Arabidopsis thaliana: one gene and its partner. The protein of the gene in region 1 interacts with the protein of each later gene in a pairwise test. Each region holds a gene or a part of one and is shown in the gene's direction. Other genes may lie near its edges.

Region 1 (7,005 bases):
AAAGAAGCCATTAAACCAAGAAACACTTGGTATTTCTTTGTTAAAATTGATACAACCATCGTTATGGTTCCAAAGTTTGTATGACTAGGTAGGTTGGGAACAATAGCAACTACTTCTGTACTTGTGTACGAGAGAAGTAGGTGACAAGAAAATTTTCAGTTTCTATAAAGTTACGAGAGTATCCATAAATCATCACGTTACAAAAAAAAATAAAAAATAAAAAATAATTAAATATGAAATTATATTTTCACATTTTTGGATGAGGGACCTACCTCTTCATCTTCTTTCATACTGCTATAAACATATATGGCATGATCTAACCGCAACATAAAACTTATAATATTTTTCTAGCGTTTGTTGATATTATTAAGAGAGAGACAAATAGATATGTTTCTCAATTTATTTTCTTCAAAACAGTTAACGTCGAAATTTGGACATTCTGAATCATCGCTTCTACGAGTGTGATGCACATAGATAAATGAGGTTAAAACGAAGTGATATCATGAATGATTATTGGGGATGAAGTAGTAATTGTCAATTTATTAACAAATAATGAAAACTTTATATGTAGGAAACTATCTACCCAAATCCCTCATCTTCGATCTGTTTGTTGTTTGTGTAATCCAGTCGAAGAGTTATTCAATTGTAAAGATAATATAGGGTATAATTTCATAATTTTTTCAGCAAAAGCACAACTTTATTAAGCTAAAAAATAGACATAAAATATGTTTAACAACATCTATTTAAGACATTACTGTGAAATAGGTTAGAAACATAGTGCTAATTAAGTCAAGTCAACATTTTGTGTCCTAAAAAAATAAAATAATAAATTTGTGTCCTAAGTGAAAAAAAAATAGAAAATTTTAATTCCATCTGCAAATCTCCTTATATTCAATCAAAATACAGAGAGGGAGAGACTTGTTAAAGAAACTTTGTTTCTTCTCTTGAAATTGATAATCTTCTAGAGTATTGAACCATCTTCATGGAACGTTACACAAAAAAAAACGAGAGGTTCAAGGCAGAGGAAGGAAAAGGATCAAAGAAGTCGAGAACTTTCCTTACAGAACGCGAAAGACGAGCTCTCTTCAATGACCGTTTCTTCGACTTAAAGAACCTCATTCCAAATCCCACAAAGGTTAGATATATATTTTTATGTTTAATCTTTCATTCTTTTTCGTCTGTTTAATCTTTCATTCATTCTCTCCAATATCTCTTGATCAATACACATGCTCTATTACTAGGGAGGTGAAGCATCCATTGTTCAAGATGGGATCGTTTACATCAACGAGTTACAAAGACTAGTTAGCGAGCTTAAGTATTTGGTTGAGAAGAAAAAATGCGGTGCAAGGCACAACAACATTGAAGTAGACAATAAAAACACGATTTATGGGACTAGCAAGATAGAGCATCCATTCTCCAAAAACAAAAACACTTTTAACTGTTTGATTCGTACACTTAGATTTGTACACCACTTTTAGTGTACATATATATATAAAAATACACAACGTACACTTTACATTTGTACACTAAAAGTGTTGTACAATCCAAGTGTACGAATCAAATAGTGAAAAGTGACTACTTTGCAAATTATGAATAGTAAAGTGACTACTTTTCCAATTAAGTTTGAAAAAGTGACTAGTTTGCCAACACACCCAACTTTCTTTAGAGCTGAAAATGTCAAGACAATGTTATATAAGAAAGATGAATGCACTTTGATTACGGAGAAAGAAAAGAAGGAATGATTCAAAGAAAAGAAGCAGTGATGAATGATGAAATTCATCCCCAACCCCAAGCATCTACGATGAAGCATCATGCATAATATATAAGAGTGATCAAATTAATCATAGACCACTTTGAATAGACTTGTCTATTGTTAGAGATATTGTGACGTGTGTTTTAGACCGGTTAAGTCGGGTTTGTAGACCGATAATTTTTAGAGAAGTGCAGGCCCTGTTAAACTAATATCAATTTCTATGAAATATCTGTAGTGCAACCGTCAAATAAAATAAAAATGATACGATTCATTACCTAAATGAATCCAACCCAACCCCTTTTCTGAAACTATTGGCTATGTATGGACCGAATCAAGCGGCACTACATTTTTAATATATCAAAAACCAAATCGTTGGTTTGGTCCGGCAATACATTTTAACATTTTCTGAGTAATCAGAGTTTGTACTGTTTAGTTAGGATGGGGACAGTCGCAGTGTACCGTGTACGAGAGAGGTAGGTGACCAGAATTTTTTCAGTTTCTGTCGAATTTCAAGAATAACCCTAATTCTTTTTTTTACTAAATCAAATATAAAGTATATTATTATCCCATTCTTGGATGTGGGACCTACTTCCACTACTTCTCAAACAACCCGCTCTCTTTGCTATAAACAGAAATCGCATGACCCAACCGCTCAACAAGGAAACTTATACAATTAGTTTGATCCAAAATTGTTATTTATTTAGAAAAATTTAATAGAAAAGATTGAAATATAAACATATATGAATGAAATGAATTATTTATATTCAATACAGTCCATGTTATTTTTTTACCAGATTCTCTATTATACATCTCTTCAAGTATCTAAATATTTTTCTTATGGATGAATTTTTATTTTATCATTTTATGTTATCGATTATACACAAAGAAAGGAAGTGTTAAATTAGATTAATTAAGTGAGTTGTCGATATACATTACAGGAAGTGTTTGAGATAGAAACTATTCTATGATGGTTTAGTTGTTGAACACAGTTTACTTATAAAATTAGAAAACCCAGGGGTTTAAGTATTTATACTTCTATTTAACTATGATATACATACATAAGTTTTATCAATGCCATGTACAACGTATAGATGAATCAAACTAGATGATGTGATAAATAATTCCATGATTGTTGATGATAAGGTAGTTAATCATCCATAAATTAAAACTGAACACTTTTTATATACAAAACATATCCATTTAAACCGTGCATTAGTATTTTTGGTTCTTGTATTAAGTCGAAGAGTTTTTTCAATTCGAGTATATAATAAAATACGATTGCATAAACATAACACATATTAAACATGAGATTAATTATAGAAGTAAAACATACATCTAAGACAAGAAAATAGTTTCGCGTTAAAATACTTTTATCAATTACAATTTTGTATTTGGGATATTTTTATCCAAATTTTACTAAAATGAAAGGAAAAGGGTAGAAATGGGAAAGAGCAAACGGGGCTACTTGGTTTGTCGGTGTGAGTTAGTGGAGCCCATATCATATTGGTCAGAGAGAAGATCGTATTTGCTGATAATGACGGAAATACCCCTAAAGTCGTTGAAAAGACCTGAGAGATTCGGCAAGGGACCCATCTGTTGATTCTTCTAACCAACCTTTATGTTTGGCCACAATGATAAATCACATGCTCCAACCAAAACAGCCCCCAAAAAAAACCCAATTTATATTTTCTTAAAAGTGAGCTTATAACGTAAAAGAAATATATACAATGCTAATTTTCTTACAACTGGTTAAGTGTTAAAAGATATGTTTAGGATCATATTGGTATTTGGTAATCAGGTTTCAACATTTGAAATGATTAATCAAAAAATAAGTTGCATAGAAAATGATTTAAAAAATGACTATAAACAAGAAGTAATTTCACAAACCATGTAACAAATCAAAACCTTAATAAATCATGCATCAAAGTTGGATTAGAAACATAGCTTAATGGATTATATACAACATTTTCGTTTAAATTAGACACCTAGAATATACATGTTATCCAATAATTTAACTTTGCCATCTTTTTACCCTTATTGTATTGTGTGTCTCCATCTACAAATGTCCGTATATTTCAAACACAGAGAGGGAGAGAGAGACTCTTGTTTAAAAAACTTACTTCTTCTCCTGAAAATTGAGAAGACAGACGTAGAGAAGAATTAATTGTAACAAAGGTTCTAATTTTCCCAGCTCTGATTACTCATTATCTTACATCTCTTTCTATCTATTGTCAAATTCAAACCCTTAACCCAATGTTTAATCTTTTGGATCCTAACAAACATTTCTATGGTTTCGTTTCCAAAATTATAAAAGAGCTAACTTTTTTTGAAATTAGTTTCAAATTTTTGGTTTTTCTTCTTCTTAAAGATTGTTGAATGTTACTTTTGATTTGCAGGTGTTAAAGAATCATCTAGAGTACTCGTTGAACCATTTCCATGGAAGGTAACAAAATTTCATTATTTGGTCTAATTTCTCATGAAAGTTGCTACCTTTTTCGTTCTGGAAGATCTAAATTAGTGTTTGAGTTACAAACGCAGAAGAAAGAGAAAGCCTTTACGAGGAAATGGGTTGTTTCGATCCCAACACTCCAGCAGAAGTTACGGTGGAGAGTAGCTTCTCTCAAGCCGAACCACCACCACCACCACCGCAAGTTCTGGTTGCCGGAAGCACAAGCAACAGCAACTGCAGTGTTGAGGTAGAAGAGCTCTCTGAATTCCATCTCAGCCCACAAGATTGTCCTCAAGCTTCTTCAACACCTCTCCAGTTTCACATCAATCCTCCTCCTCCACCACCTCCTCCTTGTGATCAACTCCACAACAATTTGATTCACCAAATGGCTTCACATCAACAACAACACTCTAATTGGGATAATGGGTATCAGGATTTTGTGAATTTGGGACCTAACTCTGCAACAACTCCTGATTTGCTTAGTCTCTTACACTTGCCTAGATGCTCATTGCCTCCTAATCATCATCCTTCCTCTATGCTACCTACCTCTTTCTCAGACATTATGTCTTCTTCTTCTGCTGCTGCTGTTATGTACGACCCTCTCTTCCATTTGAATTTCCCTATGCAGCCTAGAGATCAGAACCAGCTAAGAAACGGCTCTTGTTTACTTGGAGTTGAAGATCAAATTCAGATGGATGCTAATGGAGGAATGAATGTTTTGTACTTTGAAGGAGCAAACAACAACAATGGTGGATTTGAGAATGAGATTCTTGAGTTTAACAATGGAGTTACTCGTAAAGGAAGAGGATCAAGAAAGTCGAGAACTTCCCCTACAGAACGTGAGAGACGAGTTCACTTCAATGATCGTTTCTTCGACTTAAAGAACCTCATTCCAAATCCCACAAAGGTATATACTTTACTTTGCTTTGATTTCAATTCATGTTGTTAATGTGTATGAGGAGACTATGAAATGAGAGACATTGTTGGTTTAATCTCTGTAGATTGATAGAGCATCGATAGTTGGAGAGGCGATAGATTACATCAAAGAGCTTTTAAGGACAATAGAGGAGTTTAAGATGCTTGTGGAGAAGAAGAGATGTGGGAGATTCAGGAGCAAGAAGAGAGCTAGAGTTGGTGAAGGAGGAGGAGGAGAAGATCAAGAAGAAGAAGAAGACACTGTGAATTACAAGCCACAGAGCGAAGTAGACCAGTCTTGCTTCAACAAGAACAACAACAACTCACTGAGATGTTCATGGCTTAAGAGGAAATCGAAAGTCACTGAGGTCGATGTACGTATAATCGATGATGAAGTAACCATCAAGCTTGTTCAGAAGAAGAAGATTAACTGTTTGTTGTTCACCACCAAAGTTCTTGATCAGCTTCAGCTAGATCTTCACCATGTTGCAGGTGGACAGATTGGTGAACATTACAGCTTCTTGTTCAACACTAAGGTAATGAAAATGTCTCACTAATATAGTTCTGTTATTAACTCCAAACCAATAAACTAATCTTTTTCAATTTGGTTTGAGGCAGATTTGTGAAGGATCTTGTGTGTATGCAAGTGGAATTGCAGACACATTGATGGAGGTCGTGGAGAAGCAGTACATGGAAGCTGTTCCTAGCAACGGCTACTAGATTCCAGACACACTTATGGAGTAGTTTATTGCTTTTTAATAACTTTTGTGATACCCCTCTAATGACTGATTAAGTTATTAATCACTTTGGTAATTTTCAAGTTTATTTAGCTAGAGTTAAAGTTAGAGCTAGAGCTGAGGCTCTTTGTCTGGATTTTGTCTAACTCTATATATTTCTTCTAGCTTTATCGGTTTCGTTTTTCGACCACATTTTAATCTCTTGCGTTTTTTTTTTTAACAAATGCTCTTGCTCATATTTACCTTACGTTTCATATTGCTCTTAATGGGCCAGTGGGCCGTGTCGTTTGAAAAGTTTGAGAATAATCATCAGTCCGGAATTTATAAACCATTGCTTCTTTATCGATTCTGGTTTTCTAACTAGAAATTAAGAAACTTGCTTACATTTTCAGTGGTTCTTTTTACAATGAGCCAATTTTAATCTGGTTCTTTTTACGATTTTTCATTTACCGTTGAATTACGTGTTTAAGCTTTTATTTAATAATGTGTACTATCAATTAGGCTTTGACAAAACAAAAAATGTACTATCAATTAGTGAATGTTAATTTGTTTTAGATCTAAAACAAAAAAACAAGGATGTGATTTTGTCTCAACGCTCTTGTCTTTGCTCGTTGTCTGTCACCCTTTTTGCTTATTCCCTATTTCGAACACGTTCATGTGTATTTTTTTGTTTTGAAGTCTATTTTCACATTTAAAATAAAGTATGTCTGTGAAAAGCTTATGACGTGTATCACAATTTTAACTTACTAATTCTGGACAAGCATATCACTTGATAATTATATATAGCTTTTCACATATTCACATTTGGCAAAAGGAAATTAAAAAAAAAACGGTAATTGTGGTTGGTGACGGTTTCTCTAATTGTTCAACTCCGTTATTGCCATTCCGTTTTTTCGTTTATCCTCAAAGAAGTTGTAAGCATTTAACTGAGGTTTGAGGGCTTGTCTAGGATAGGAGCTGCTCGTGGAGGCCATGATGAAGACTTGGATTCTTTGGAGTTGAGGGATCGGGTTCTTTAGAGCTAAACCAATCACGTTTTTAAAGCTTTTTTCTTTAGGTTTTCAGTATTTTTCTGTTAACAGTATATGTTTATTTATTTTTTGTCAAAATTTCAAATAATTGTATCAATACTTCAAACTCTACCAAAAAAC
Region 2 (7,005 bases), on another chromosome or scaffold:
ATACTTCGAGAACATGCAAAGAGAAGATGTATATATATATTTCTGCTAGAGTGAACAAATATGTGATCGGGGTTTATAGCTTAGTCATTTTTCGTCTCATAGTCATATATAAATCTAATTCATAAAAATATTGTGAATTATGTAAACGGAAAATAAATTATATATGAATTTATAAACCAAAACAAATATGTATGGGGTCTATCATATTTTATGTCCCCACATCATTTTTAACATTTTCAAAACCGACTAAATCATAGATCTGTGAGATATACAAAAGAAAAGGATTTGGTGGTTGAACCTAGTTCACTGGATCCATTATACATGGTTGAACCTTCAACGTACATCTTTAATGAAAAAAAATATGAAAAACAAAAAACATTCAACGTATACTATTTCATCTTCCTCGAAATTTCCTTGCCATGCGCTGTAGTATTGTAATCCTCCAAATTTGTTACGATAAATAGTACACCAATAATAAATGTTGAAACTATTGAGGTTGAGATTGTATCGTGGTGATATTGTTGAGTCATTTGTTGGGAACTGGTACGGAGAGAGTACGGTACCACCAATTAATACATACAGTTTATTGGATTTTCCATTTATCAAGAAAGATCCATTTTGTTTTAATTTTTGTTTGTTTGTTTGTTTGTTAAAGCAAATATGTTTGTACTGCAATGTTTGTTTACTTGCCTTAGCCTTTACTTTAGGCTTGCATGTCTGAATATGTCTATTCATGTGTAAGTGAAACATCTTGACAATCCTAAAACCTATCGTAAAATATAATGAACATGGTCAATCCACTCGACATCAATTAGTCATAAAAGCCTATAAAATTGATGCATTTCTAGTTTAGTGTATCATTTTCAAAATTCAAAAGAGGAGATTACATTCGAGTAAGTGTCAAATATGAAATAAGCTACGTGTTAAAACTCAAAAGTTAAAATTGAAAGAAGCCACGATCGAGATGCTTCTTCTCGTCATGCAAACGCATGTTTTGGCTGGAAAGCTGACAAAATCCGCCCATATTCTTTCTCGCTCTCTTTATCGAACTGACATCTTGGAGAGTTTTGCTTAAGACCAAAGTGTGAAATCTAAAGACGAAGACAACAAATTAAAGTACCATATCCCATGATTAATCTTAAGCTTTGTGAGAAAGTCAAGGCTGTCCACAAAGAACATGTCATCTCCCATCTTTTCTTACATACGATCATGTGCTCGTTGCGTGTCCTAAAGTTTTATATGCTTTATTTATTTATTTTTATATTTTCCCCCTTTTTCAATTGTTTATACTTTATATCAATCTTTAGCATATGTTCGTATAAATTATGTTGGTATATATTAAAGTTACGTAAGACAAAATTTATTAGAATTCGAAATCCTAACTCGACAAAACGAGTTAAATTGAGCTTTATTTGATTTTCTATATTCTAAAATAGAATGACTCAAAGACAAATTGTGTATATATGTATATATATAATTTTAATAACACAAGTTGTATGTGGAGAAAACGATGTAATTATAAATTTGGATCATATTTTCGATATAGTATGAATTTTTTTTTAATTTTTTTTAAAGATTACAAAATTTAGGAAGATAAATACACGAGTGAGTCTGACGAGAGAAAACGCGGTTTGGATTTGGGTAGCAAAAGAGACAGAGTGAGAACAGCTGTAATTTGAAGTCACTCATCAATTTAGCATCATCACCTTCTCCCACACTCTTCTGACTTCACTCTTCGCTATTTTCATTTACTATTTCCTATTGACATTTTCTTCGTAAGTATTCCATATTACTAACAAAATTCATGTTGTTTAATGATGTAAGAAAACAAGATGCTAAAAGGCGATATCGTTCTTCTTGAATAGCATTTGTATGTATTATGTAACATGTTACGTTATGGTGTATAATTAAAGATTACCAAATGATTATAATACTATCAAACGTATTTATACTAATTACTGTTTTGTACGACATCTCCATTTTGTTAACGCGTAAGTTACTCACAATTCACAAAGCGATGAGCCACGATGTTAAAATGTTAAATTCAATAGCAAGTTGTCATATAGCTAGGTTTAAAACCAGATTTTTCTTTAGACTTTGATGATACACGTAACAAATCTAATAAAAAGATTAGATGGATCAATATTCTAGTAATAAAAAATATTACAAGTAATAACATTTTCGTGCACGTATGTTTGCAGGTTTTACAGTCACTTTTTCATAAAAATATATAAACATGATACAGTATATATATATTTGGTGTATAACTACAAATATACACACTAGTTTAATCGGTAAAGAATAAACATAGACAACCAATAATTAAACCATAAATGGGGCCACTTTCTTGGAAAGTTCGTATTACGAGTTAACGCGTTAAAACGCAGCTGTAATTCGTAATCTCCTGATAGTGATGATAGGTACGTATATAGTCAATATATAAAAGAAAATTGATATCTCACAACCTAAAAAAATACTATAGGATATTTTAGCATCACTCCTCGATTTGCTCATCAACTGGCGTCCGTGTGTATAATATATATACTCTCCTGGTTAATTAATTCCTAGCAAAATTGACTCCAATCGGTAATTTATTTTAGTTTGATAGTTTAGTTCACTCGGTTTATATTTTGGACAAATTCTAGAAAGAATCTAACACGTTAATAAACTTGGAGAGAATAAATCTAATTGTAAAATGGACCCTTGTGAAATTAATGTTTTTTGTCATTTAAATTGTAGAATAAAAAAATATACATTTTTCTTTGTAACAAGAACATGCAATTGATAAAAATTTACGTGATCGCATAATTAATTGTTGTTTTGTGGTTCCTCAATAAAAAAAGCCAATCAAAATCATTATACGTTTATGTATTTTTCCTCTAAATACCAAGAATATTAGTTATACATGATTTATTTTTTATAAGAAAATGCAAAAATAGCAAAAGGTTAAGATGAGGCCATGTTCAGGTTCATTGTTCGAACTTCGAACAATTGGGCAAAGCCTTAACATGCATCCATATTCGAATAAATAACTAAGCTCCAAAGATTTATGTTCACTAGTTTCTTTTTTTTTCTTTTTTTAATTTGAATGGAACAAAAATGTATTAATGCCAATTGCTAGGATAAAGGAAAAATTAGAAGAAAAACACCTGTCATGCACCACAATGTCACATTCATACACAAGAAACCATACTATATTTCATTTGACCCTATTTTAGATTTATATCAATAAATAATATTTCATCTCTTCCTCTCCCATACCCCTCCCAAATCAATCCATCTCTATATATAATCTTCTCAGCTCACACTAATCCTCATCAAAAAATCTCTATCCATCCACAACAACAACAAAAACTCAAGAACAATATCTCCACTTGATCACTACCACATTGTCCAATCACTCTACAAAGCCTGTACGTACACAACAACATTACCATGGTGAAACAAGAACGCAAGATCCAAACCAGCAGCACAAAAAAGGAAATGCCTTTGTCATCATCACCATCTTCTTCTTCTTCTTCATCTTCTTCCTCGTCTTCGTCTTCGTGTAAGAACAAGAACAAGAAGAGTAAGATTAAGAAGTACAAAGGAGTGAGGATGAGAAGTTGGGGATCATGGGTCTCTGAGATTAGGGCACCAAATCAAAAGACAAGGATTTGGTTAGGTTCTTACTCAACAGCTGAAGCAGCTGCTAGAGCTTACGATGTTGCACTCTTATGTCTCAAAGGCCCTCAAGCCAATCTCAACTTCCCTACTTCTTCTTCTTCTCATCATCTTCTTGATAATCTCTTAGATGAAAATACCCTTTTGTCCCCCAAATCCATCCAAAGAGTAGCTGCTCAAGCTGCCAACTCATTTAACCATTTTGCCCCTACTTCATCAGCCGTCTCGTCACCGTCCGATCATGATCATCACCATGATGATGGGATGCAATCTTTGATGGGATCTTTTGTGGACAATCATGTGTCTTTGATGGATTCAACATCTTCATGGTATGATGATCATAATGGGATGTTCTTGTTTGATAATGGAGCTCCATTCAATTACTCTCCTCAACTAAACTCGACGACGATGCTCGATGAATACTTCTACGAAGATGCTGACATTCCGCTTTGGAGTTTCAATTAATCCGACGGTCCATAATACATACTTTAATTAGTTTTCTAAATCATTTTTTAAATTCTTTTTTATATATGTAACATATATTTACCCTCGTCGTAATTATTCATTTCCAAGTTGTTTGTTGCTTGGAGAGAATTGACGACGGATACGATTATATAATATAATTGTAAGTTTTTATATGTAGCAAACTCGGTACAATTCGGATTTAATAGGGATCTAGGAAGTTCACATGAACAAGCGACTCTTTTTTTTGTCACTTCTTTGACTTTTTCATGTGAGGTTTCTTTTCATCAATTTTTTTTAACAATGTGTGAAAATATTTCTGTATTGTAATGATATATTTCGCACAATAGTTTTGTGAAATAAATCTGGCGCTATATATGATTTTGTATCATTTTCTCCAACTCGTTTACTTGTATATATGTGCCAAGTTGCTACCAATATGTGATGATTTTGCAATCCAACACATTATCTTTGTTTTTTATTCTTATTTTGGTAAGTAGTAAAGCCGATGATGTATATAATTGACAATCATTTTTTTTTCACTAATTGACAACCATCATTGGTTAGAAGTTAGAACACATCATTGACATTGACATTGGTAAAGTTCTTAAGATGAATATATATGTAAATTAATGTATAATTAAATCTGAACTACTTTTTCCCGAGGTCTCTTCATAATTCATAATTTGTTTGATTAAATACTATTATGTACTATACTTTTGCACAAAAATTAAAGTATAGTACTATACTCAGAGGAATCTTACTGTTTCATGTGCCGTGGAAAAGTTTGGTATAGCAAATAATGCACACATTGCTTGGGGACAAAGTTCATATCTTTGAAACTTGGAACTTAAAAAACCATTTGTTTTGATTTAATTTATTTTCCTTTTTTGGGAAAGAATCCCATGGAGACAGAACTGCAGTCAAGGGATATAAATAACTGCAATAGAGTTAGAGTTATGTAGGATTCACTAATGAGTACTGTAAACTGATTTTTCTATTCATATTCAGAGTACTCTAACTCATTCAAACCATGAAACTTACTTGAAACCATCACCAAAAGGTAGGAGATCTCTAGCTTGCTTTATTTTGTAGCTTTGGTTCTATCAATAGATCAATGTATACAAGATTGTTTAACGAATATATGATTTAACATGTAAGAGAGTGACCGCAAATTGTGATATTAGTCAAATTATGTTCACAACCTTTTACAAACAGATGCCATGTGGAAAAAGAGTAGACCACAAAAAAAAAATTGTAGTGTAGATGAGAGATGTGGTTGACGTAGTTGATTGTCTAAGGCCATCAAAACCATATACTTTTGTTCCACCTTTTAACTGAGTGATGATTAGAGTGCACACAAAACGTTTTACTCTGATTAAAAAGTACAATATTGTGACTTGTGAGTTTGTAACTGTCCTCTTACGACCAGAGCCATCCTCCACTCTAGAAGTGAAAACTAATAAGCTTGCTCACTCGGTCAAACATAATTGTTTCCTAGTGTGTGAACGTATACGGTTCAATGCTATTTGTTGGCTGGCTTAGATGAACTTGGTCTAATAGTTAAGTATTGTGATCATATCCTATGAATCTACATCATACTAACACCGCATATATAAAAAGAAAAAATGATGTGATCAGTGATCATGTGAGTAAAGTATGATATATTGGTCTTAGTGTGACAAAAATCTTGGAGACGTTATCGTCTGTATAATAGAAAACAGGACATAGTTAAATGGTTTGTTCACAATTTTGAGGTCCCAACTAAACATAAGATGGGACCCCATACTTAAGAAGATAAAGTGATTTGATAAGACATTCATATGATTCATATCATATCACATCAACATTAAATCTGATTGTGTAGAGTGTTATAGCATTTCTTTTGTCAAAGGGAACATCTAAACTTCAATATTTGGGATAAAACCTTGAAGTCACATGACATGTCTCCTGCTCAACGCTCTTATTTTAGTCGTTTCTATTTCTTTAGTGATTTAGGATTCGGCGTCCATGGGCTTTGGTTTTGGGGCCATTATCGTTTATTTTTTGTCTAGCTCATTATCGATTCTGGCCCATCCATTGCTAAATAAAAAAAGAACAGAAAAAATCATTAAAAGTTGCTGTCTGCTGTAAGTTCTTTTTCTAGAATTTCTTTCGTTGCAAATAGTGAAATGCATTGGGCTTCAAAAAGAGGCTCGGCATAATTCGGTTCATTTAAGGCTTTATAAAGTGGATTGAACTCTTTAAGTTCAATTTCTGAATATAAGAAGCAATGGTGATTGATGGCTACAGTGAAATATGCAATTTTTAATAAGTTCATTGGATTAAAAGAATTTTAGTAGACGATGATGTCAAGTTAAGAAAAAAGGTTTTAGTAAATAGGAAAACTTGTAATGGATTTTCTTCCTTCTTCTAAGTGGTAGATTCCAAACTGACAACCTATTGATCCCCAAAAATTTTGTGGAAGAGTCTTGTTTGCTCGCCAAAAAAAAAAGCCCTAATAATCTCCCTTGACAAAATGTGTGGAAGAATCTATATATTTTTGATATAGATTTACTCATTTACAAGCCAAATGAAAAAAAAAAAAGTTTACAATAAAAATGAATAATTATGGGCATGCTTTAGATAATAATATAAGATTAAATAGAAGTCAATATAGTCCACAAGATTAGGTTTAGTTACTTTTTTGCACCACTGCCAAAAAGTTGTATCCGATCGTGTCCTTGCACGACATATATTTTCTACTTGTACTTATCTTGACTCTGAAAATTGAAAAATATTGGCGGCGGTGACAGAGTTATCATTTACTTGTCATGTTGGATAAAAGAATCCAATTACTACTAGCATTTTAATTTTATCATAGGCCCAGATAACATAAGT

Evidence for each region. Proteins that work in one complex are often made in the same cells at the same time.
Region 2: the proteins of AT2G31220 (region 1) and DREB26 interact in a two-hybrid assay, tested with the Arabidopsis thaliana proteins (one large-scale study listed by BioGRID).

Annotation. Positions count from the first base shown.
Region 1 is NC_003071.7:13,298,825-13,305,829, forward strand, and holds AT2G31220 (basic helix-loop-helix (bHLH) DNA-binding superfamily protein), read left to right. Parts: upstream 1-3,841; 5' UTR 3,842-3,928; intron 3,929-4,149; 5' UTR 4,150-4,189; coding exon 4,190-4,196; intron 4,197-4,248; exon of another isoform or gene 4,249-4,291; coding exon 4,292-5,109; intron 5,110-5,203; coding exon 5,204-5,653; intron 5,654-5,735; coding exon 5,736-5,837; 3' UTR 5,838-6,045; downstream 6,046-7,005. Other genes in the region: AT2G31215 (basic helix-loop-helix (bHLH) DNA-binding superfamily protein), read left to right, coding at 983-1,135, 1,242-1,478.
Region 2 is NC_003070.9:7,693,220-7,700,224, forward strand, and holds DREB26 (Integrase-type DNA-binding superfamily protein), read left to right. Parts: upstream 1-3,207; 5' UTR 3,208-3,435; coding exon 3,436-4,128; 3' UTR 4,129-4,612; downstream 4,613-7,005. UniProt on the Arabidopsis thaliana protein: Transcriptional activator involved in the regulation of plant development and tolerance to abiotic stresses. Involved in salt and osmotic stress response pathways. May be regulated by the stress-related genes RD29A, RD22, DREB1A or P5CS during stress response.